Drosophila melanogaster: one gene and its partners. The protein of the gene in region 2 purifies or fractionates together with the protein of the main gene of each other region. This does not show direct contact. Each region holds a gene or a part of one and is shown on either strand. Other genes may lie near its edges. The genes, in order: idc, sesB and Cyp4ac1.

Region 1 (7,086 bases), on a different chromosome or scaffold from region 2:
GCGAGTAAGATTTTGATTTGAATTTGTTCCCATCGTATCCTATAATCGCATAATCCCATTATCTTGTAGAATCTGTCACAAACGTTTTCGCCAGACTCCGCAGTTGGCGAGGCACATGAACACCCACACCGGTAATCGTCCCTACAAATGTGACTATTGCGACTCCAGGTTCGCCGATCCCTCCACTCGCATTAAGCATCAGAGGTAGGTAAAAACATATAGGGCTGTCATAACTAGAATAAAAGAGATATATTTCTGTTAATCAGCTTTAATGTCAATTAATTGTTAACAAGTCTTGATAAAAGTTACTTCAAATCTAAATCTTAAGACATCCACGGAAGTTTCTAACGTTAAATACACTTTAGGATCCACACCAACGAACGACCGTACAAATGCGAGTTCTGCAGCAGGTCCTTTGGCTACTCCAACGTCCTCCGGGTTCATCTGAAAACCCATACCGGTGAACGACCATTTAGCTGCCAGTACTGCCAGAAGTCCTTCTCCCAGCTGCACCACAAAAACAGCCACGAAAAGTCACACAAAAGGACGAAAGAGGTGAAATGATTGCAGTGACTAAGAGGAAACATTGAGGTGCAAATTAAATAAGTTTCTCGTTGAAAATTGTACAATATATTAATGGATAAGTTCTAAGCCATAGGGCACCGCCATTAAAATTTGTCATTTTTCCTTATTTAATTTTTTATAAGAAGTAAAAAACAAATTGTACAAAAAAATATATCCTGTGTACATTTATTTGCTTAATGGAAGAACTTAAACAACGGCTTACTAAATACTTAGACTAAACTTTGCATAAGAACTAAAAAGAACATGTCACTCTTTGGGGAGTTCATTGAGAAACTCCGGCGTTTCCCCCTTGACATCTTCTGCTTTGGTGCTCTCTTCTGCGTCATTTCTCCAGGTGATACGTCTATTATGCGTTTCCCGATGCAAACGCAATTTGTAGGCCTTCACAAATCCTTTGCCACAAAGATCACAGCTGAAAGAGAATAGCTATTATTGCAGGATAATGAAGTAGTAAAATATGTTGATGCTTACACATGCGGCTTCTCCCCCGTGTGAATCATCTTGTGGAACTTCAGGTTGTCCGAGTAGGTAAACGTTCTGGAGCAAACGTCGCACACGTAGGGACGCTCCTTAGTGTGAATTCTGGAGAGAAATAATGTCAGTTTAATTTACTTTCAACTGTTTCGAATATTTCTCACCTATGATGTTTGGTTTTCGTGGATCGATCGGCGAAGGCAGCTGGACAGTAGTTGCACTTGTATGGTCGGTTCCCCGTGTGAGTGTTCATGTGCCGTACCAGCTGTTGATTCTGCACAAAGCCTCTTCCGCAGATCCTATAATAACATCCTATTAGCCATAGTTACTATTTACTTTCAACTTTTAAACCTACTCGCACTCGTGTGGTTTAACACCAGAATGGAATTTCATGTGCTCGGTGAGACGCGCCTGAGTCGGATAGATATTTCCGCACACATCGCAGATGTATGTGCTCAGCTTGTTGCGCGGCTTTCTGCCCACCTTCTTTTTGAAGGTTTCCACTTTTGGGCTATTCTTGTGGTATGCAACTGGCTTCCTGCCCGATCGGTCGCATTTTTCCGGCTTAGCATGAGTTGGGTCATAATCTTCGTCAGAGTCGAGTATGTCTTCAGCAATTTCTTCTTCGGGCGGCTCCTCTGTGGCAACATCTGTGCCGGTGGAGCCTTTTTCCTGTGCGATTTCCGGCGAGTTTTCGTTGGTGAGCAGTTCGTATTCCTCGTATTCAGCATAGGTTTCAGCCTCCTCGATCTCATTTGGCACCGGCTGCGTGGGATCGTGCACATCGAACATATTGGTATCATCAGTATCACCATCCTCCACGACATAGGTGATAACCTGATGTTGCTGATCCTCCTCGCCCTCCACTTTCATGCCGCCATCCAGCTGACTGGCGTAGTCCTCCCACGACTTCAGTACGCTCTCCACCGAAAGGTCCTCCGCGATGCTAAGCAAATCCCCTTCGCCGGCGGCGTTAGCATTGCTGGCCTCCCGGTCCAGCATGTCCATAATGTGCTGATGGGATCGCTGGCATGTCAGACGGAACTTGTAGCAGAGCCGCAGGCAGCGCACGCACTTGCTGCACATCTTGTCCGGGAAGTTGTCATCTAGGCTGACCTGTTTGGGTTGGAATAATTTAAAATGGGCAAACCAAGCAGGATTCACACTTACTGGAATGCCTGCGCAAATGTGCAGCATTTGGTCCAGTCGCGTGCTTGCCGTTTCGCTGAATATGTCGTGGAGCAGCTCCTCGCCCTCGCTGGGATTGTTCAGGCAAACGCGGCACACCACCCACTTCTCGTTGGACTCAGTTTTCATGGCTAATTCGATAAAACAATCACTTCGGTTGTTGCAGAAGATTCAAACAGCTGAATTTAAGCGTCCACGGCCACTGGCCATTCACAGCGAAACGCGCCCGCCAAAGTTGATACGGTGAATGCACGTTATGAACGACTACATGGAGCGTACAGGGTACATAGCTGTATGTGCACTTTTTACCAAACAAATGTTTTAAATAATTTTTTTTTGGTAGAAAATAATATAAAAATGCGCGTCATTTTATTAATTTTATTTTCAATTTACAAATATTGAAGGAAAATGGTTTTAAGTTCGTTTATATAATAAAAAGGAAAAGCACTATTCTATCAAAGTAGTTTTGTTTCAGTACAGTAATGACCACACTGTCTTATGGAACGATGGAACTTTACATGAGCTTGACATATAATATTGTATTAAACTGCTTAATCAAGCTTTTATATATTTAAATTGTAAAACACTTGAATTCCAATTTTACTGATTTATTTAACTGCCCACAAAATGCATTCGTATTCTTAATTATATATTTAATATTTGAAGTAGCGAATGGAATACCCTTAGCGTCGACTGTGGTCACCCTGTGTGGCGACATTCGCATTGCAACGCGTGCACTTCGCTCCAGACTACAATCTATTTTTTTGGCGTCGTCTTCGTCCAGCGAGCGTGTTATTATAAATATTATAGCGGAGGGTAAGTAGCCTCCTGGAAGAGATCCATCTCCTATTCGCGACAATGAGAGACTCGGCAGCACATGCGAGTCCGGCGGCAGCGGCAACGAGCACGCAGAAGTGGATCGTTTGCCGGGTTTGCCTGCAGCAGCCCAAGGAGCCCATGGCCAGCATTTTCAACGACGATTCGGAAAAGGATCTGACCCACATGATTCGCGAGTGCGGCGGAGTGCCCGTAAGTTTGTCCCATTGGACCCCGAACCATATAACAATGCAATTTCCTTGGCAGATCAAACAGTTCGATCACTATCCGGACAAGATATGCGAGAAGTGCTTCAAGGTGCTGAAAATGGCATTTAAGTTTCGAGAGACCTGCCAAAGATCGTACGGCCATCTGCGCCAGTTCGTTGGACCCGTAGAGGTGGAGCAGCGACCACCGGAGAAAAAGGGCTCAGAGACAGCCACCAAGCTGGAGCCGGATGTCGATCCCGATGAGGCGGAGCAGGAGCCAGAGCATGACGAGGAAGACGAGGATGTGGACCTGGACGAGAGCCACTATGCCGAGGCGGACGATGCCGCCGAAACGCAGGGTGGTGTCTTCCATGACGAGATTGAGGATGGTATCCTCGTTGAGCTGGAAAAGGATCGGATTGTGCACGTGAAGAACGAGCAGGTGGAGGAGGACGGCATAATCGAGGAGGTTTATGACGTGTATGAGACGTACGAGGGCGACCTCATCCCAGATCAGGGCTATGACCACGAGATGGCCGATCAAGCCCTGTCCGAGTTATCTGCCGAAATCGAATACCTGGACCAGGTCGAGCATGATCAGTTGACCGAAAGTGCCCACGAGGATGATGCGGAAGTCGATCTGAACTCAACCGAAGAGGAGTTCGTTCCCTCAAAAAGCGTTCGCGCGTCCATCCATGCGCGGAATGCCACCAAGCGGAGAGTGAATCCCCGCAGGTCAGCTACATCGACGGCCTCGGTGGCTGTAGAATCGAGTACCTCCAAGACAACTGACCGCGGCAATCCACTTAAGGTACGGCGGGGTAACAGTGATTCGGCTGGCAGCAAAATGAGCATCAAATCCGAGAAGGACATCTCGATTGGCGAGGTGCTGGCGCGCAAGCATTCCGGCATTAAAACCAAAGGCGGCCACAAGATCCTTCTTGGCGACAAGAAGGAGTTCAAGTACATCTGCGATGTCTGCGGCAACATGTATCCCTCCCAGAGTCGCCTTACCGAGCACATCAAGGTCCACTCCGGCGTGAAGCCGCACGAGTGCGAGTAAGTAACTTCACAGTTTTTACTGCGTGTTCACTATGTTCTTTGGAGTGTTATTACGATTTTAGCTCATATATCCGTCTAATTCGGGTATAATGATTGTGTGGAAGTAATTAATCATTTTCAATAAGCCTTCATTAACTTAAAATCTCATTTTTCAGGATCTGTGGTCATTGCTTCGCCCAGGCTCAGCAGCTGGCACGCCACATGAACACCCACACCGGAAATCGGCCGTACAAATGCAGCTATTGCCCGGCAGCCTTCGCCGACTTGTCCACGCGTAACAAGCACCACAGGTAAGTTGGTGAGCTCCAATCCAAACCCGATTTGATTGAATAATTACCCGTTTGCAGAATCCACACCAACGAGCGACCCTACGAGTGCGATGTTTGCCACAAGACATTCACTTACACCAACACCTTGAAGTTCCACAAAATGATTCATACGGGAGAGAAGCCGCACGTGTAAGTTTCGCTTTCCCCCTGGCGGTTACAGTCCGTATTCTCTAGCACGAACTTTCACTGTTTCACAGATTGTTTATGCATACACTAGCTTCAGAACCAGATTGAGTTTTTTTTTTGATATAGAGAGATGGAAATCGTTTATAAAAATATACTTTTTATTCTATAAGAATGTACAATTCACAGTGGAAACTATTTTGAAAGAGCCATGCTGTTTCAAAAGATTATTGTTTACGAATATTACGTAGTATATTAATATTTTGAGTTTAGTTGATTGTTTATTAGGTGCCTGAGGCGTAAATAACATTAGATAAACAGGGAATGAAGTATTAGTGTTTAAATATTATAAGTTATAAGGAAGACATAAATTAATCAAGGATTCTAATCAATTTAAAACACGTTTGCTCTCTCTCTTTAGCTGCGATGTGTGCGGCAAGGGATTCCCGCAGGCGTACAAACTGCGTAACCACCGGGTCATCCACGAGAGGCGCGGCCAGTCCGCACGGGAATCCGTAGCCGGGCTGGTGTCCTACGACACGGCCAACATCGTTGGCCTGGATATGTAAATTTCGAGCGAGGACTCCACGTCGTCCCAAAGCGACACTTTACACTTTAAGCAGAAACACGCGTGTAATTACACATCTAATTATATTGATGAAATTTAAGCCTAGCCTAATTATGCGGAAATAAATTAAGAATAGCCGCGCATATGGTCTTGGCGTCGGTCTCCTCCGGATAGAGCTGCAGTACGGCATGCACCTGGTGCGGTGGGAAAAGGCTGCCCAGGTGATAGCGCAGCAATCGGCGCTGCTCCTCCCGCGGAAGCTGCTGCGAGGCGTGCAGCTCCTCGTTGATGCGCGAATCGGAGGCAGACAGATGGGCGAAGTTGTGAGCGGGCAGTGGCAGACCCAGTCCCTGATCCGTGACCGGGGCGGATGGCGTGCGCGTCAGATACTGGTGGTGATAGTTGGTGCTGGAGTTGGACTGTTGATGCTGCTGCTGTGCCTGGTGTTGTTGTTGCTGGAGGGGAGCACTGTAGGTGGGCACCAGCAGGCGGTAGGCGGGCGGCGGTTGTTGGCGCTGCAGCTTCTTGTGGCGATTGGGCTGGCTGGATTCCACGGCACCCTCTGAAAGATCCATTTGAGCGGAGAAGCCCTGACATACCTGCTCGATGGTATTTGACTTGGTGCGCCCCAGCGGCTCCCGGCTAATCAGTGAGTTGATCTTAACATTGTTATTATTGCCACCCGGACTGACCAACTGTTGGCCACCGTTCGTGTGCAGGGGCGCGCTGTGGGAGGCCTGCAGCGGGAGGCGCTGCAGCAGTGGCGCCTGATTGTGATGCCGGAACTTGCACTTCTGGCCGTAGGTGCACTTCTTGCCGTACGGACACAACTGCTGCGCATCCGCCATTTTCTGCTGCGTCTGCGAGCACAGGAAGAGGTCCAGATTTGGACCCGATCTGCCCAGCGGATCGTCGGGTGGCATGAAGATGTCATTTACAAAAGAGTACATCAACAGGCGCTCCTGCACCACGCGCCTAAACTCGTTACTCTCCAGGATCAGATCCCTGTAGTTGTCGTTGGAGACTACAATGCCGTCAGTTTCCACTGCCAGCTTGAGTATGAAGCGATCATCGTAGCAGGACACACGCTTGCCATCCAGATGTCGCGATGGCGTGAACACCAGGTATCTTTCGTGCTCCAGCTCGTAGAGCAGCTCCTGGTCGGCTATGTTGTTGTTCGCCATCTCCTTGCGCCAGTTGGGCACGAAAGCGGTGATGTCGCGATGGCCACGCTGCCGGAACCAGTCCACACAGATGCGAATGCCGCGGCAAGAGAATACTAGATTGTTGCCGTGAGAAAGGGCGACATTACTGCCATCGATTACGATGTGTCTCAAGCCAGAGCTGTTGCTACCGCCGGTCGGGGAGGACAGAGTGCTGGTCATGCTGGATGGACTGCCGCCTCCGCCTATGTGGGCGGGCCGCGGTGCATCGGCCGTCAGCTTGATCAGCTCCGCCAGCAGCTCGTTCTGCTTGGCTTCCGAGCCGAGGCGCGTCAGCGCCGAATGGATGGACTGTTCGCTGTAGCCTAGCTTTTTGGCGAACTCCAGGTTCTGGCGCTCCGTTGTGCGGCTGGGACTCTGGCTCTCATCGTCGTCGGAGCAGCTTTCCTGCTTTCTCACTGGCAACTTGTTGCTGCTGCCGTGTTTTTGTTGTTGCTGGTGGACCTGCTGTTGTTGTTGCTGCTGTTTGTGTTGCTCCTGCACTTCGCAATCCATCTTGATGCGCATCT
Region 2 (10,170 bases):
TATATGTTATAGGCGTATGTGAAATGATTATTATAAGGATTGTCCAAACAACTAACCGATTTGTACACATCCTTGAAGGCAAAGTTAAGGGCTTGAGTTGGGAAGTATCGGATTACGTTGGCCAAGTTGCCGCGCCAGAACGACGAGAAGCCCTGCTCCTTGGGAATGCGAATGAAGCAATCGACTATGCCCTTGTAGCGCTGATCTGCCGCGATCTGCTTGGAAACCTCCTGCACCTGCAGAATGAGCTTCACGCGCTCGATAGGAGCCACTGCCGTTTTGGCTATGGCAGCTGAAACGCCGCCCATCATGAAGTCCATGAGGAAAGACTTAAGGTCTCCCTTGCCATGACCACCGCCACCGCCTTCATCGCCCATGTTAGTTTACTGTTTAATGATTTTAAAACGATTTAGTTTAGCTTCAAAGTTGGTTGGTAAAAAAGGATAAAAACGGACTTTCACTTTTTACAATTTTTAATTTTGATGTTACAACGTTGAGATCTGAACTGAGATTGGCTAACGAGGTTGTGTGCCAGTCGGTCGAAATGACATTCGATGTATTTATCGTGGCCTACTTTGACCAACAATTTTAGAAGCGATGAGCGTACGTTTTTTTCCTCTTTTAACAACAGAAAATAATTATAATAATTTAGCTTCGAACTGCCGAAGATTAAATTGAGACGACCAATTGGTTGACTGCACAAATGGTCTGTGTAAGTATGCTAATATAATTTTTGAATTACAAATACATATGTACTTTCATTGCAATAATTGGGTTCAAGTCGAAATATGAAAGATCGATATACATACATACATATGTACGTGCGCAGAAAGAAAAACACAACATTGTACTATTTTTATCAATTTTTATATATTTTTAAACCAACCGAAGTTGAGTTTGTTTGTTGGTTTGTCGTTTCGGAGGCGAAAGAATCTACAGGTCTTCGGTTCGATTCTTTGCATCCGATCGATAACACTGATTTGGCTGGGGAGATGTGGGACGACCCAGCAACATGACTGGATCTATAGTATATAGCCTAACCCAAACTTAACAATACTAATCGATATCGTCGCTATGTTCGTTCGTCTTTCAGTGTAGTGGGTCTAGTCTCATGTGCTGAGTCGCATCCTCTCTCTGCCCCGAGCATTGCTGTTTGCTGTAGTATTGTTGTTCTATTGACGCTGGCCATCGTTCCGTAAATTAGTTCCCAGTTTTTATAAATAATATAATTTCATAATTATATCGGGGTGAGGAAGGAAGGGTTCTTGCTGTTATTGCTTGCCGTTGTTCGTGGTAAGAGGTGTTGGTTGCAGATCAAACTTAGCTTATGCCTTTGCTGTTGCTATTGCTGTTGTTTTAGCTTTTCTCATTCAGTTATCTAACATAATTAGCTGGTAGTGTTTAGTTTTACTTCTTTTGTTTTGTTTTGTTGTTGTATGTTGTTGTATTTTGCTTGTTTTGAATAATTTAATAATTTAATTTACAAGACCTTCTTGATCTCATCGTACAACACAAGCACGAAAGCGCCACCAGTTCCTCTGAGAATGTTGGAGAAGGCGCCCTTGAAGAAGGCACCGGTGCCCTCCTGCTTGGCGATGGTGGCCCAGCAGTGCAGTGTGTTCTTGTAGATGACCTCGGTGGCCTTGCGACCAGACTGCATCATCATGCGACGACGCACGGTATCGAAGGGATAGGACACGATGCCAGCGACGGTTGTCACAACCTGGGCGATGGCCCAGCTGATGTAGATGGGTGTGTTCTTGGGGTCGGGCAGCATACCGCGAGCGGTATCGTAGAAGCCGAAGTAGGCGGCACGGTAGATGATGATGCCCTGCACGGACACTCCGAAACCACGGTACAATCCAACGATGCCGTCGCTCTTGAAGATCTTGGTCAAGCAGTTGCCCAGACCGGTGAATTCACGCTGACCACCCTTGCCAGTATCAGCAGCCAAGCTGTAAATTCGTAGCGAAAGCATTACGTTAGTTTATTGGACATTTTTTTTTTGTTTTTCGCAAATATACCAACATACCGAGTACGGGCAAAGTCCAAGGGGTAGACAAAGCACAGAGAGGTAGCACCAGCGGCACCACCGGAGGCCAAGTTGCCGGCGAAGTAGCGCCAGAACTGGGTGTTCTTGTCCACGCCACCCAGGAAGACCTAAGTTACACACATAATAGCAACCGGGGCGTTAGTGTTTTCCGCTCGCATTGCTAACATGCAGACTGCAAAGTCTCACCTGCTTGTACTTGTCCTTGAAGGCAAAGTTCAGAGCCTGGGTTGGGAAGTATCTGATGACGTTGGCCAAGTTGCCGCGCCAGAAGGACGAGAATCCCTGCTCCTTTGGAATGCGGATAAAGCAATCAACCATGCCCTTGTACTGCTTGTCGGGGCTGATTTGTTTCGAGATGTGCTGAACCTGCAGGAGCAGTTTCACACGCTCAATGGGGGCGACGGCAGTCTTGGAGACAGCTGCGGAGATGCCTCCGGCAGCGAAATCCTTGACGAATCCAACAGCATCGAAATCCTTGCCCATTTTGCTGTAAACACATCGTGCAATTGGCCAAAACTCTGATTAATCTCGACAGTTCCGTCATCGCTGATGGTGATACTTGGTGATACCGATGATGATATACCTTTGTGATGTTATGGATGCTGATATATTCCCCATGGCATGCGGGTGATGGTGCGTTGCATAATGGTTACGATATACGTTTACGGTATTTTTGTATAGTGGATGTACGATTCACTTTGTTTACACGGGTGCAAAAAAAGGCACAATAGAAGAATAGCCCAAAGCCAAATGAAAATGTGAAAATTTTCAATGTATTAAATTATAAACCGAAACCGAAAAACATGCACTTTTTTTTTATTTTTTTGAACAGTTATAAACCGAAACCGAAAAACATGCACTTTTTTTTTTGAACAGCACTACAAATGGTTACAAAACATTTTTGCGGGTGAAGTAAAAAGGTTTTAGCGACAAATGAAACAAATAAAAACATGCACAGTTAGTATAAATGGCAACTTAAACTTAATGCTAAAGGGGGTTAATATTGAATGGTTTATGGAAACATCAGCGTTTTGGTTACAATTATTTGTTGTTTGTGTTAGTATGCGTGTTGGCAGTTGCCGGTAAAACTGGTTTTGTGCAAAAAAGGTGAAAAGTTTTATTGGCCGGCTGGTTGCCACGTGGTGGTTTAAATCGATATAAAATAAGTACTGTTGGAAAATTAAGTTCTAACCAGTTAGCTTTGAAAACTAAGTAAAATACATGGCATTACGTGGCATACATAAATACATAAGTGCTTATCTAATTTATGTTATCTAGAGAATATGACATAAATCAATTGCAGTTCTAGTTGGATAGAGCGGCAGTCTACTGGTTTTCATTGAGTAAAGATTGGGGGATTGCATAATTGCCACACCACACAAAAAAAAAGAAAAGAATTGAATTGAAAAAGTTCAATGGAAAAAGCCAATATATATGGGCATTTGAGTGGGTGTGAGCAAGATGGCTATAGAGGCCACGGTTTTTTTTTTTGGCAGTTGGCATTCGCCATTGAAGCGCGTTTTGTTAATTTTAGACTTTCAAGAGCAGCCGCCGCTCTGCGTTAGCCGTGTGGTTTAAATTATATTTTAGCGAAATTAAATCAGCATTTCATTGACAAGGGTTTTATGTAACACACTTGGCAAAGAGAACTGTGCTTTGCCATTGTTTCGTTTCTCTTCTGTTCTCTTTCTTTGAAATAACAACCGTTATCTAATCGTGTTAGACTTTTGATTGGCTGGAAAGAGAGTGAAGCTTTTTCTTCGGCCACAGCCACAGAGAGCCGAGAGCTAAAAGGCTCGTGATGTAATAGCCTCAGCTGGAAAAATTCTACAGTTGCACGTGGAAAGCTTCCACCGAAGGCTGAGCAGTCGTAGTAGTATCCACAATCCAGTGTTAAGTTTATTCTTAATTCATTGTTATTGATTGCATAAGACCACCACCACACACCAGAAAAAAAATTGTTCAATGAATGATTCAAGTTCAACTCTTTTGTTGTTTTACATAACCAGGCAGATTTTCTTTCAATGCTCAGGTTGGATTTGATTTAAAAAAAAAAAATAATAATAAAAGCATTAGGAACCACACGCGTATTTTGTTAAATGGGCTATGGCTCAATTCGATTCGATAATTGATATCCAATTTGTTTGCCATACGTACAATTTGTATTTGTGTTTCTATATCACAGCACAAAACCGAAAAAAATTTATCCTTATTCCTCGGAAGTCAGAAGTCTGAACCGGACGGCAACTGAATTGCTTGTGAAAGTTCCTTTCGCCGAAATCTGCCAGCTAGCCTGCTCTGCCTACGTCGGCGTCGCAGTCGCCGCCATCGTCAAGTTCAGCAACAGATGAGCGTGAGCGAGAGAGGGGGAGAGCGTTCTCTCTCTATATGCATATGCAGAGTATGCGAAATTCGGAGAGAGCCGAAAAAAAACTAGCGGTTGGCAACAGCACGTGTGCGAGCGAGAGAGGGCGAGAGATCGCCGCTTATCAGTGCTGAGAATTCAAGAATTCAATGTCGCCATTCGTTGCATAAGAGGAAGTATTGTACCACACACTTGTACTCATTAGAAAACACTTTTTGTTTCGTTTTGGCCATGACCAAAAATGCATATATGGCCAATTGTTTTTCATTTACCCCTTTCGAGGTTTTCGACGGCGCTTTCTAAACGCTTGCCAAAATGAATGTACGCACAACATTTACATTTGGCAAATAGCCGACAAGTCAGCTGCGAAGCAGACGGATAGTCCCGTTTAGCTAGTTGTTAGCTAGATTTCTAGAAGATTGAATAGTGTACTTCTATTACACCCAAATACATGTCTTCCTTATTCAACAAAATTGGGGTATCTTTGATATTCAGTTTTAAGAACTACTTGGACTGGCTTAGAAAACTTCAATATACAGCAGTGAACAATTTATTCAAATACAAAAACCAAAACTATTATCAATTTTTATAAAAATAAAAGTTGAAAAGAGTTGAAAGGTTTTATTAATTGTTTGTAGCTATTTAATTGCTAAGCTATTAATAACATTTGGCTTTATTTCTAAAGATAGGGTTGGCAGCACTGCTAGCATGTGACTTTGCTTTCTGACGTCCACCTGCCGCTCTCTCCCTCTCTCTCACGCTTCGTCTCTTTCACGCAGGCGGAAGAGGGGCGGCGCTCGAAAAAAAATGCGTGAAGCGATTAGATAAACACTTCTGCTAATACAGTTAATTTATATAACTGTCTACGACACTTTTTCAAGGTCCCGTTATCACAAAAATTACATAAAAAATAAAAGAGAGCTAGTTGCCCATCAAAAAAGAGAGCGTAAAAAATGCAGTTGCAAAGTTACTGCAAAAATGCTTAATTGCCAAAATTAAACGGCAGCGAAGTTATAATTTTTATGGCTCAGTGTGCGATGAATCGGGGTTTTAGGACAGGGCGTGGATCGGCTTGAAAATCACACTGAAAATTTCCGCCGACTGGGCGAGAATTGGAAATGTGATTCGCCAGGGATATGTAATAATAAACACTAATCTCAACCAAGTGCAAAATCGCACTAAAAGGCCACACAAAGGGCTACAATAAACAATAAATCACATGAATACTATACGTACATTAACGATTGACGTCAGAAAGGGTTTAAGGGGTATGGGAATGGAATAATAATAGAAGAAATGAGAACACTGGGGAAACCCGTTTTTTTCGCATGAATTTTTATCTTTAATAAAAGAAAGCAGGTCAGAAAAGAAAGGGAGGCAACCAAAGAGAAATAGTTACATTACTCTTAAGAAATAAAACCAACTCTCTCTCTCTTCTTCACACACACACACCCGATAAGTACTTGCACGCGCAGCTGGTGTCTGGCATGGGAGTGAGCGAGAGGGCGTTAGTGGCACATGGAATTTATTCGCAACTGTGTGTTCATACACACTCATGTGCGACTGGGCGGTAGAACAATCAATTGCCACGCGTTTTACTATAGAATAGCCTGCATTTGGTGTATATAATAATATATTTGTGCAAATGCAGGCCAATTTGATTCTAGAGAAGTGCAATTCTCTTTGAAATATAATCGCAATTCATGTGCAACATTTTTTCGTACAGACGAGCCGGCCTGCCAACTCGTTGCTATTGCATAAGTTGGCAGTTCCAGCGTGGTTGCAAATTGGAAGGAAATAGATGGGAAAAAGATCCAGCGTGGCTTCTTCCATTTTCTTTCTGGGTATTCTAAATGAACTTTGGATTGGGGGTATAAAATACCGAAAAGTTTGCTAATACGCCCAATTTATTACGTGTTTAATTGATGGCAAACACAATTTCGGCACAATTATTTTTCGCAAGGGTTATGTAAGCACTTTTCGGGTATTTTCAAGTCCCATTTCGGGATTTCTTTTCGATGCAGTTAAACCGGAACTGCTTGTCGAACATACAAAAAAAAACGTTAGTTTAAACCAACACCGACACAATAAAAAAATTAGCACATTACATAACTACAGAATCTAGCGCAAGGTGACGTGAATTAATGGGTAAAAAAAAATCAATGGCAGGTACGGGGCACACCGTCTCTTTTCTTGTTAAGCAAAAGAGCCTCGCAAATGTAATAGATATAGAAAATAGCACAATACCTTCAGTTGATAACTTCTCACAAAAGTCACAGAATAAAAACTTCTTTTGCAGAATCAGACGAAGCCGCGTGCTCACTTGGCGAATGAAATTCGTAAAGTGGTGGGGGTCTCGAGGGCCCAGTGACTTGGGGATGAAAGCTGCAAAAATACCGCATATCGATAGTTGCTTTAACTGGTATTTATTCGGCGATCTATCGATATTCAGCTAGATTTCGGTTTTTATTCGTGATATTTTTGTCGGTAACTTTTGCTAGTATAAATAAATATGGCTATTTTTGATGTAATTAAAACCAGTATATTACGTTTTATTATAAAATTAAGGCAAGCGGGGATTGAAGCATCAATATCGATATTTTTTAATACCTTAAAAATATTTTTACATCGACTTTCCCATTATGTTATATTATTTTATATTATATATTATATTATTGCGAGTTCTGAATTACACAAAAGTTAAAGACTATTTTATGTTTTAATAATGGATTCATTACAATTAATCTGCACGCTTCTTTGGGAAATTAACAACGACCTGTACGACCTCCTTTTGCCAAACTATGATAAAAACTAGTTTGAATGTATTGCATTTAACGCGGTTTTTTAATTGCTCTTTTTTTTACAAAAACAAAAGTTTTCTTTTTATATTAAATCAAAGGTTTGTCCAAAATTGGAATATCTCATACCTCGTTGAAATCGTTCCAAATTCCTCATCGAACTGTATTTAAGTCTGGCAACTTTAATTTTTGGCCATTTTTTGCAAATTTGGTTATCGAAAATGAGAAAATCGGTAATTTGTCGAATTTTGATGATGGTACCCCTAATGAAAAATTGCTTAAATTGGTCAAAAAAATTATTCCTGAAACTCGGTTTGAAAGTGTTACAGATTGTTAGCAATGTTAATAAGCAACACAAAACAGTCATCGTTTTAGCTGAGCCACCTTTTTTGGCCAAGTTATTCTGAAAAATGTTTTTCGAAAATATCATATTCTTAATTTTAAAACGTTGTTGAAAAGGATAATCGCAAAACTTGATTCAAAATGCACTTCTTATATACGAAAAATCATTTATTGAGTAAATTTCTTTTCGATTTGTTTTTCACATGTTCACAAAATTGTATTTGAGTTAGTTGTATATCTGGTTTTCTAATATTTTCCTTGGCCTTGGGATACAATTTAGTAAGCTTTTGTGTCTTTTTATTTGCTGTATGTGGGTCTTGTATACGGTAATTTCGTATTGAGCGCTAGCAATATTAACATTTAGTTACACCGAAATGGGGAAAACATCTTACGCAGATTAGTATGTTATGTATACACCTATGTATATCTCTAGTTTTTGAATCAGCACCCTGGGACAGGCCAGAATACTAGGAGTTTTGGGCGTGCTGAGGGGTATGGTAATCAAATGAAGAACCCTTTCTTTTGAATTTCGTTGGTTGGACAGAGGGGTTAATTTAAAGGCAATGGTAAAGGTAAAAGATAAAGGCAAACAAATGCAAAGTACTGGCTAGTAAATACTGGGGCCTCTAAACTATGACGACACATCTAGACATCGAGTCCTATGTCCTTTACGTGGTTATCTAGATTACTTTCGGGTACATATTCCATGGCAGATACAAAACATACACAGAGTGGATATTTGATATATGTATAGTATATTGGTTATCGTGTACCGATTGTGTTAGCGTTTTGCTTGTGGTTAAAAGACAGTTATACAATGTAATTGGGAATATAGTTTTGTTTTCATCCTATTTGTGTGATTTATTCGTTCGCTTTTTTTTTGTTTATTTTTTTTTTTTGTGGTTTGTTTTTGTTTTTATTTAATTTTTTCTTGTATAGGAAACAACAAAAATGGACGCAAAATGATTGTTATAGTAGTATTCATGTTTACCCATCTTGCTTTTACGTTTAGTTAACTATATAGGAATATGCAAAACGTACACTTAATATATTTTTTTTGGTTTTGTTTTACGATTTTGTTACTATGTTCCTTATCGATCTGATACTATATAAATGCAGCTCTAAAACTTGTATTCTTTGACATTGTTCTGTTCCATCTGTCTTTCTTTTTATTAACTATCTTTCGATCTGGCGGCATCTTGCATTTGTATATCTCTTACGCTTTTCAAATACATTTAATAACATTTCTATAGAAATATTCAAAGCTGAGGTAGTTAATTCATTCATTTATTCTTTATTTTAGTTTACGTTAGGTTATGTTAGTTTAGTGTACTCCATATATATGATCGGTGTTGTTAGTTAGGTATACATCTATGTATGTACTCACACGCTATTTGAATTTATCTGACGACTTTAGCTCTTCTCAAATTCACATTAAATTAATAATTTAGACAACTGTTTGAATAGGGGGTTACGGATCATTAATATATGTATGTCTGGGTACAGGGACAACATCGAAAGCCTCTCGAAACGATCGGGATTATAGGATTTCGGAATCGAAGCCGATTTGGAAAGGAGAGAGGAAAACCAGTTACTGAAAATCAAAAATACTGAACTACAACGAAAATAAAAACAACCAAGGAACGAATTATTTTTGTTTTTTTTTTTGTGTTTTTAATAATATTTTACTCTTTTTTTGTTATATTTATAATATTTATAGATATTTTAGCTCTGTAATGTAGATACAATGTACAGTGTAGATACATCTGGTGTCGTCACATCATCCTCATGTAGATTATGTGTAGATTAAATGAACTTAACAGTAAAATGTAGACGACGCAAAAAAAAGCTCTAAACTAATTTAGGTAAAGATAAGGATAAATTTAAAAATAATTAATGTAAAAATAGTGGTATTTTTTTGTAAGTTTTCATCTTTAATTTTATGTTTTTTTTTGTTTTAAGCTTTAGTATATTATGTGTAAAGTGGTTTCTATATAGTTTGCTCGCCGTTCAAAAATTGAAAAAATGATGTGTGCAGGTTAGGGTTCTGGTGAAAGGGGGGGGGGGACTGCTTAAGGTCCCATGAGGGGAGTTGGGTGCCCAGCGGATGGTTTTAATTATAAACTACTATCACACAGGCAAACCAGGCGCTGGAGAAGTGAGAAGGGGGGAGGTCTGATTAAATGGAATTGATTGGGTGGCTGGATGTGGGGTTCGGATTTGGAGGGACTATGGGGACATAGGAATATGGAAGTGGAGTGTTTGGTTGGTTGACGAGGGCGGCAAAATGATATACACAACAACAAAATTATAAAATAATCAAAGTAAATAAGCGGGAATCGTAGATTGATTCCCATATGGGTAGTAAGATATCAACGGAAGATAAAACGGAAATCATTTTTCAATATGCCAAATAAAATGCAATAAACTGACTACGCAACGCCAGGCTTATCGATTTATAATTTATATAGCGTTATGCATGCTTATTTTTTTTATAGATTAAGGTTTTTAGTTAGAATTTGGTTATAGAATATAGTTTGATGTTGCATGTGGGTGGTGGTGAATGGGTGTTTTTTTTTTGTTTTTTTGCATGTAGGGTGTTGGGGTTGGTG
Region 3 (6,513 bases), on a different chromosome or scaffold from region 2:
CGACAAGTCATCAAGTTTTACTCCCAGTGCGGTTTCTGCAATTACATTAATCGCACTAAAATTCTCTGCATAGTTGAATAAACGGCCAGTGAAAATTGTTGTGATTTACTAATAAACATTGCAAATTTATTTCTATATTTGCTGGTCATTCTGCTCTCAAGTTATACATATGTATTTCAAAGCTGGCGTTATTGTTTTATTAATGTACTTGAACTTACCGCAAACATTGTTTAGCGTAAACTGAGGAATAACCTGATTGAGCTCCAACTCCATATTCACACTTTGATGCAGGACTTTCACAAGTTTATTGCACTCTTCTCTAAAAATCGAGAGTGCTTACAACTTAACAACCATTAACTATTTTGTAAACTTACTTGAATATGATCAGAAAAGATTGCAGCACCTTAAAGTGAAAAGCAGGAGTCAGGGCTTTTCTTCTAGAGTGCCATTTCTGATCTAAATTGGTTTAAAACTCTTTAAAATAGTAGGAATTAAGAATGAAAATGTAAAAATACCTGTGCTAATCAGCAGTCCTTCGCCCAAAAACGGTTTCAAAAGCTCGTAGATCATATTTTTGGTAATAAGCTTGGAACTTTGCAATATCTCCTCGGCTTCCTCGGCCCGAACAATATTATACATGGGTGCATGGAAAAAATACCATAGATAGTTTCGACCTTTCGCTTTTGCAGATGCATCTCTCATGAAGTTAAATATGCTTTCTGTCAAATATTCCAAACGATTTGAATATAGTTTTAGTGTTAATTTGGTTTCACTTACCAGATGTAAAGTTTACGAGGTCAAAGTTGTTTCCAAATCGGGTTTTGCTCGGCGCTACGTAAATTTTACTTTCCAACAAACTACCGTCTTCTGTTCGAATTCGTTTGCAAAGACTCAGGATGAAATAGGTCCTATTCAAATGAGCCCATAACTTGCGAAAAATGAAAATCACAAGTGGAGCAGCGAACAGGACTTCCAAAAACATTTCTACGTTTATATTATATTCCGGTCAGAGGTTCCAATACCTCTCAGATTAAGCTCCGATCTATAAATGACGAATACTGATTAGAACTCAGTGATCGGAACAATTGAGTTCTGTAAAATCAATAGGTACTTAGTATAAAACATGTTCCCTTGCGGCATGCAATTGATGGGTATATTAAATTGCAAATACTGCACTGTTTTTAGAAAGTCTTGTGTAACAAAATTTTTTGAAATTTACGATATTTATGTATATTGGCTTTTGATTTTTTTTACGTAAGCTTTAATTTGTATATAAAGCTATAAAGCTGTATAAAGTAGTCGGTAGTTTCACTATTACAAACATGCAAATTGATCACAATGTATCCTCTCCATAAAAAAGCAACCAGCAATTTATTTAAACGTTACCGATTGTGATGAACGTGTTAATTAAATTAATTACATGTTAGGATATCTTTAGTTCAATCATTTCATCGTTTAATCATAAATCGTTATATTTTACATGACAGATAATAAGACAAGCGATCAATCGTTTTAGAGTTTCAATCGTTTTACTGGTTTATTTGTTTCTCTAAACAAATTACAAATAAAAGCTCTTTGGCAAACCGTTTTCCATAAACTTACACTAGGAAATATTCCTCATTTTACCCTTTTCGATAGCTTCACTTTGATATTCTCTTGTGTGCGCAGCACGATTCCGTTCTCAAAAGTGAGATCCTCCAACTGGGTGGCGGGCAGGAGTTTAAAGTTCCTAATCACAGCGGCCAGGAGCACCTTCATCTCCAGAATGGCAAACTTCTGACCAATGCAATTCCTCTGGCCTGCACTAAAAGGCACATATGCAAAAGGATGACGATTCACTGTGTTCTCCGGTAGAAATCTGTCTGGCTGGAACAGATCTGGTTTCGGGAAATGTCGCGGATCTCTCATTATGTCGTATATGTGGATGCTGATCTGGGTGTCCTTTGGCATCACCATTCCATTCACCACAGTCTCCTCCACGCATTGGCGCCCAATAAATGGCACTGATGGAAACATTCTCAGCGATTCCTTTATCACACATTCCAAGTAGACTAGTTTGTTGAACTGAAACATACTGATGTCATCGCTGTCCTCGGGAAGATTTTCCACCTCCTCATAGCACTTCTTCTGGACATCCTCGTGGAGAGCCAGCATCAATAGGGTAAATATTAGACAGGTGGACGTAGTATCGTAACCCTCGAACATAAAGGTATTGACCTCATCGCAGATACCCTGATGATCGATCTGACCATCTGCTTCGGCTGCTAACAGGGTATCCAACATGGCGTATCGCTGCTTCCTGCCAAATTCATCGACTTCTCCAAGTTGTTTCTGCTGGAATTGCTGCCTTTTTCGTTCGATAATGCGACTGGAGAAGTCGTGAACTATTCGAAGATTCTGCAAATGCTTTCTATAGTCTCCGTAAACGAAGAAATACCAGTTGTAGTACATCAGCGGATTGCACACGCGTTGAATTAGAACTTCCTCGATGGCATGGATGGCCTTTCTATATTCGTTGCCCTCCGACATGTCATCCAGCTTCACACCCAGAGCAGTTTCTATAAAGGGTATGGTTTAGTTTAAATGTTCTTAAATATTATCACTTCATTCAGCTCACCGCATATATTATTCAAAGTAAATGGCGGAATAACCTGGTTAAGCTCCAGTTCTGCATCTAAATTTTTCTCTAAAACGTTAAGGAACTTCTTGCACTCTTCCCTAAAATAAACTTATATTTGAGCGAATTCAATAGTTAATTAATAGTTCAAACTTACTTGAAAATACCCAGGAATGACTGCAGGACATTGAAGTGAAAGGCGGGCGTTAAAGCCTTTCGTCTGGAATGCCATTTGTGATCTTGAAATCATTGATTAATTAGTAATTATAATAATGCAGTACAAATTGATTGAATCACCCGTGCTTATCAGGAGTCCGTCTCCCAGAAATGGTCTAATCAGTTCGTAAACCACGTTCTTCGTTATCAGCTTGGTGCTCTGGAATACCTCCTCAGCTTCCTCGGGTCGAACCACATTATACATGGGTGCATATAGAAAATACCACAGATAATTCTGACCCTTGGCCTTGGCCGTGGACTCGCGCACAAAATTAAAAACACTAGCTGTAATAAAACTTGAAAAGTAGTTATAAACCTATAATCGCATTGAGTAACAAAACGAACCCGGCGTAAAGTTCAAGATATCCAAGTTGTTGCCAAATCGCGTTTTTCCCGGCATTATGGCCACTTTGCTTTCCAATGGACTGCCATCCTCGGTTCGCACACGCTTCGTTAATGAAAGTATAAAGTAGGTTTTGTTAATGTGTTTTAGAAGAAGCGTTAGGACCGCCAACAAAATCGGGATCCCCAGCAGAGCGATCCACATTTTGTCGCAAAATTCTCCGATCGGTCCGTTCTGCAGGCAATTTCACTACACACTAAGCTTTGGCATATCATCAAGCCTCTGTAATCATAATCAATTGTATGTACTATACTGTTTAAAACAATAACAATCTCAAAACAGCTTTCTGTTATCAGGAAGCCAATTATATGGTTGGATTATATCAATTATTGTGGTTGAGTGCTGTTGAGTTCTATTCTTTTTTATACTCGACTTTGCAATTTTTTAATTTTGGATTGTCTATAATGATGACTCCATTTTGAAGCATTCCAACATTTTAAGTATTATATCACTGATGCTATGGCCGGCTTTAAATGGTCAGTCATATTTTTATGATTATCTTGAAGCTTAATTTAATCGCTTAATGGTGAATACTAAAGCGTTCGGTTGTGTCAACAAAAACAGTCTAAAACCAAATAATTGGTTAACTCATTTAAAAGTAAAAATTATTTATTCCAGCACGCAAAGCTTTTAGACTGTCAGAAATTGAACTAATTGCTTTTTAATGCATATAAGCTATAATGTCATGCTATTGATTTCAAAGCGATATGGTTTTATTTTTGTTGGCAGTAGAGCTGGCTAATTATTAGTGCCTATAAGTATACATAGGAAATGTTAAGGTAATGAGATTAAAATAAAAAAATTATGGTATTCTCCATTCAACAGCTGCCTACTATCAAAAGGCATAATAATTAATTGAAGCACTTGACAGATATTGAAATTGTTAGCGAAGCATTTGAAATAGTTCAAACTGGCTTACGATCGTTTTTTTTTTTTGTTTGCCCATATGACCATTCCAGATTAATAACAATTTCTTGGCAAATTTCCTCCCAGGCCAAGCGGCATATTTTCCCATCGTTCCAACTATGGAACTGGCTGCAGAAAAAAAGAGAAAAACTAGCAATGTCGCATCAAAATGCCGCATTGATTAAAGTTTGATTAGCTGCAGCTTGGCCAGATCGCATTTGGGCTTGAGGAATTAATTTGAGCCAAGTTTGTAATGCGCGCGCAGAAATGGCAATGCCACAGTTGCAGTTGCTGCCGTTGCAATCTGGCCAATTGCAGCCTTTGCTGCAATAGAAGTAAATGTGGAAAAAAATTAAATCACAGTAATTACATTTTCTGTGGAAATGGCCGGAGCCGGAGATGAACGCGCAAACATGCTGCACGACCAGTGCGTGGACCTGGATGACAAAAATAGTCAATGCAGCAGGAGTTGCAGCAGCAACTGCAGCAGTTGCGATCAGCAACGGTCACAGCAGCAATCACAAACTGCATTTGGGCATGAAAAGTGCTGTGCCGGCACAATTGGATGGAAAAACTGGCCCTGTCTCTCCGTTTCTTGTTGTTATGAACAAATGTTATTGCGGCGGCAACATGCTGCATGTGTTGCTGCTGCCACAGGAGCAACATCAACTGCCGCTGCTGCTGCTGCTGCTGCTGTTGCTGCTCATTAAGATGCAAAAGACGTCGCTTGCCGCCTTTTTAGAATTACTAATTGAATCGACGCGATCAGTGGCAATTGCAGCGGCGGCATTGGCCACAAAAACCAAAAACCAACAGTGAACAACAACCATTGCGGTGGCGGCTTGAATGTTTGTTTGTTAGTTTGTTTGTTGTTTCAACCGCTGCTGCGCTGAATGTTGCTGCCGCTACTGTTGCAGCTTCCGTTGCGGCATGAGTACACAAACATACGGTCATACGCCTGCGTATTTATTTATTTATGTACGTGATTCGCAGCGTGGTTTTGCGATTCTCTCAGCGCAATTCGCAAAGCAAAAATCTGAGCCAAAGCAGAGCAGCTATCCCTTCAATGGCGATGCACATCCGCAAGCCGCTTGGGGGAATTGCTAAGATAACAAATTCTGAGCTGCTCGGGAGCTAAGGAACCCTCAGGCACCTGCACCAAAGTTGCTTATAAGGCACTGCTAATATCATTAAAACTTAAGCAGGCGCTTCAATTGAAATCGTATTCTACGTTGTATATCTTGGTGGGTTATCAACCTTATTTGTCTGAATTTTTAAAAAATAAAAACCACACCTTTCAGCCGCATTCTTCGCGCTTTAGTACACAAATTTTCCATCATTTTCCGGCATCTTTTTAGCCAAAATATTCATGTTTTTAGTGCTGACCTTACTCGCTGCATTTTCTGGCTAAGCACAAAGTCATGTAGCAACATGTTGCGCGGTCGCCGCAACATTTGCTGTGCAGCAACATGATTTTTCAATTATTGCAGCGGCATGTAAAATTTGTTGTAAGCGCTTGCATATTTACTTTAACACCTCGTCCTCTGTATGTATCTTTTTTCCTGTGCTATTTCCTTTTTTTTGTTTTTTTTTTTTATTTCGTTTTTGGCGTGTATGCGCTGACAGCGAACGTTGCCGGCGACGAACAGGCGACGCTTGTTAGCCATGTTGCACGGCCTGACACTTGTTGCACGGCATTCTGCCCCAGCAACCTTTTGCGGTCGCTGTGCCCCAAAGATCTCAGCTTCCCGATGTTGTTCTTGCGGTCGATGTACAATGGGGTACAAACATAGTGTTTATCCAAGTAAAACCAAATCATAAACGAGGTCTTCAAAATATCCACTTTATTCAATGACCTTAGTGCACAAAACTATGTTTTTAAATACCCTCTGTAAAAACATATTTTGTTAAAATATGACACAATATTGTAGTTTGAACCCACTGTGCTGGGTTGTTCTTGGGTTGCTTTTGGTGTTGATGTTGCTGCTGTGTGTTTTCGCGTTGTCGTTGGCGTGTGTCTCTCGCTCCACTAAACTTTTAATTAAAATTTGGTCGTATCACAGTGGCTGCTGCTTCCTTTTTTGTGGCTTGTTAATGTCACCTGAAGGAGGCGGGGGAATCCAGGCAATATACTCCACTGATTTTTATGCAAATTTGCCAGTCTCGTTTTTCGGTCAACGGGCAACTTGAGGGGTTTCCAGGCGACGAGGGCTCGCTTTTGGGATCGCAACGGATCGCACGGATCGGGTTCCCATGCCGAGCTGCGTTCGTCATTAAGTTGTCATGACCATAATCATCTTTTGAGACGGCCATAGACCAACTTTGGCGTCCACTTCTTATATAGTCTCTGTCTCTGTAAAAAACTGAACAG

Evidence for each region.
Region 1: the proteins of sesB (region 2) and idc purify together in Drosophila melanogaster (affinity purification with mass spectrometry, with the first as the bait; one large-scale study listed by BioGRID). This does not show direct contact.
Region 3: the proteins of sesB (region 2) and Cyp4ac1 purify together in Drosophila melanogaster (affinity purification with mass spectrometry, with the first as the bait; one large-scale study listed by BioGRID). This does not show direct contact.

What each region holds. Positions count from the first base shown.
Region 1 is NT_033777.3:20,028,835-20,035,920, forward strand, and holds idc (identity crisis), read left to right. Parts: upstream 1-2,988; 5' UTR 2,989-3,105; coding exon 3,106-3,276; intron 3,277-3,330; coding exon 3,331-4,331; intron 4,332-4,489; coding exon 4,490-4,624; intron 4,625-4,681; coding exon 4,682-4,792; intron 4,793-5,046; exon of another isoform or gene 5,047-5,207; coding exon 5,208-5,355; 3' UTR 5,356-5,461; downstream 5,462-7,086. Other genes in the region: CG4854 (uncharacterized protein), read left to right, coding at 1-4, 70-204, 366-564; trem (trade embargo), read right to left, coding at 832-997, 1,057-1,167, 1,224-1,358, 1,415-2,175, 2,230-2,376; Regnase-1 (regnase 1), read right to left, coding at 5,462-7,084.
Region 2 is NC_004354.4:10,780,141-10,790,310, forward strand, and holds sesB (stress-sensitive B), read right to left. Parts: upstream 6,768-10,170; 5' UTR 6,666-6,767; intron 4,319-6,665; exon of another isoform or gene 4,211-4,318; intron 2,750-4,210; 5' UTR 2,672-2,749; coding exon 2,637-2,671; intron 2,541-2,636; coding exon 2,240-2,540; intron 2,161-2,239; coding exon 2,033-2,160; intron 1,956-2,032; coding exon 1,481-1,955; 3' UTR 853-1,480; downstream 1-852. Other genes in the region: Ant2 (adenine nucleotide translocase 2), read right to left, coding at 57-377.
Region 3 is NT_033779.5:5,260,901-5,267,413, reverse strand, and holds Cyp4ac1 (cytochrome P450 4ac1), read right to left. Parts: upstream 3,414-6,513; 5' UTR 3,381-3,413; coding exon 3,179-3,380; intron 3,119-3,178; coding exon 2,915-3,118; intron 2,857-2,914; coding exon 2,775-2,856; intron 2,719-2,774; coding exon 2,618-2,718; intron 2,559-2,617; coding exon 1,618-2,558; 3' UTR 1,515-1,617; downstream 1-1,514. Other genes in the region: Cyp4ac2 (cytochrome P450 4ac2), read right to left, coding at 1-35, 219-319, 375-456, 516-719, 778-982. UniProt on the Drosophila melanogaster protein: May be involved in the metabolism of insect hormones and in the breakdown of synthetic insecticides.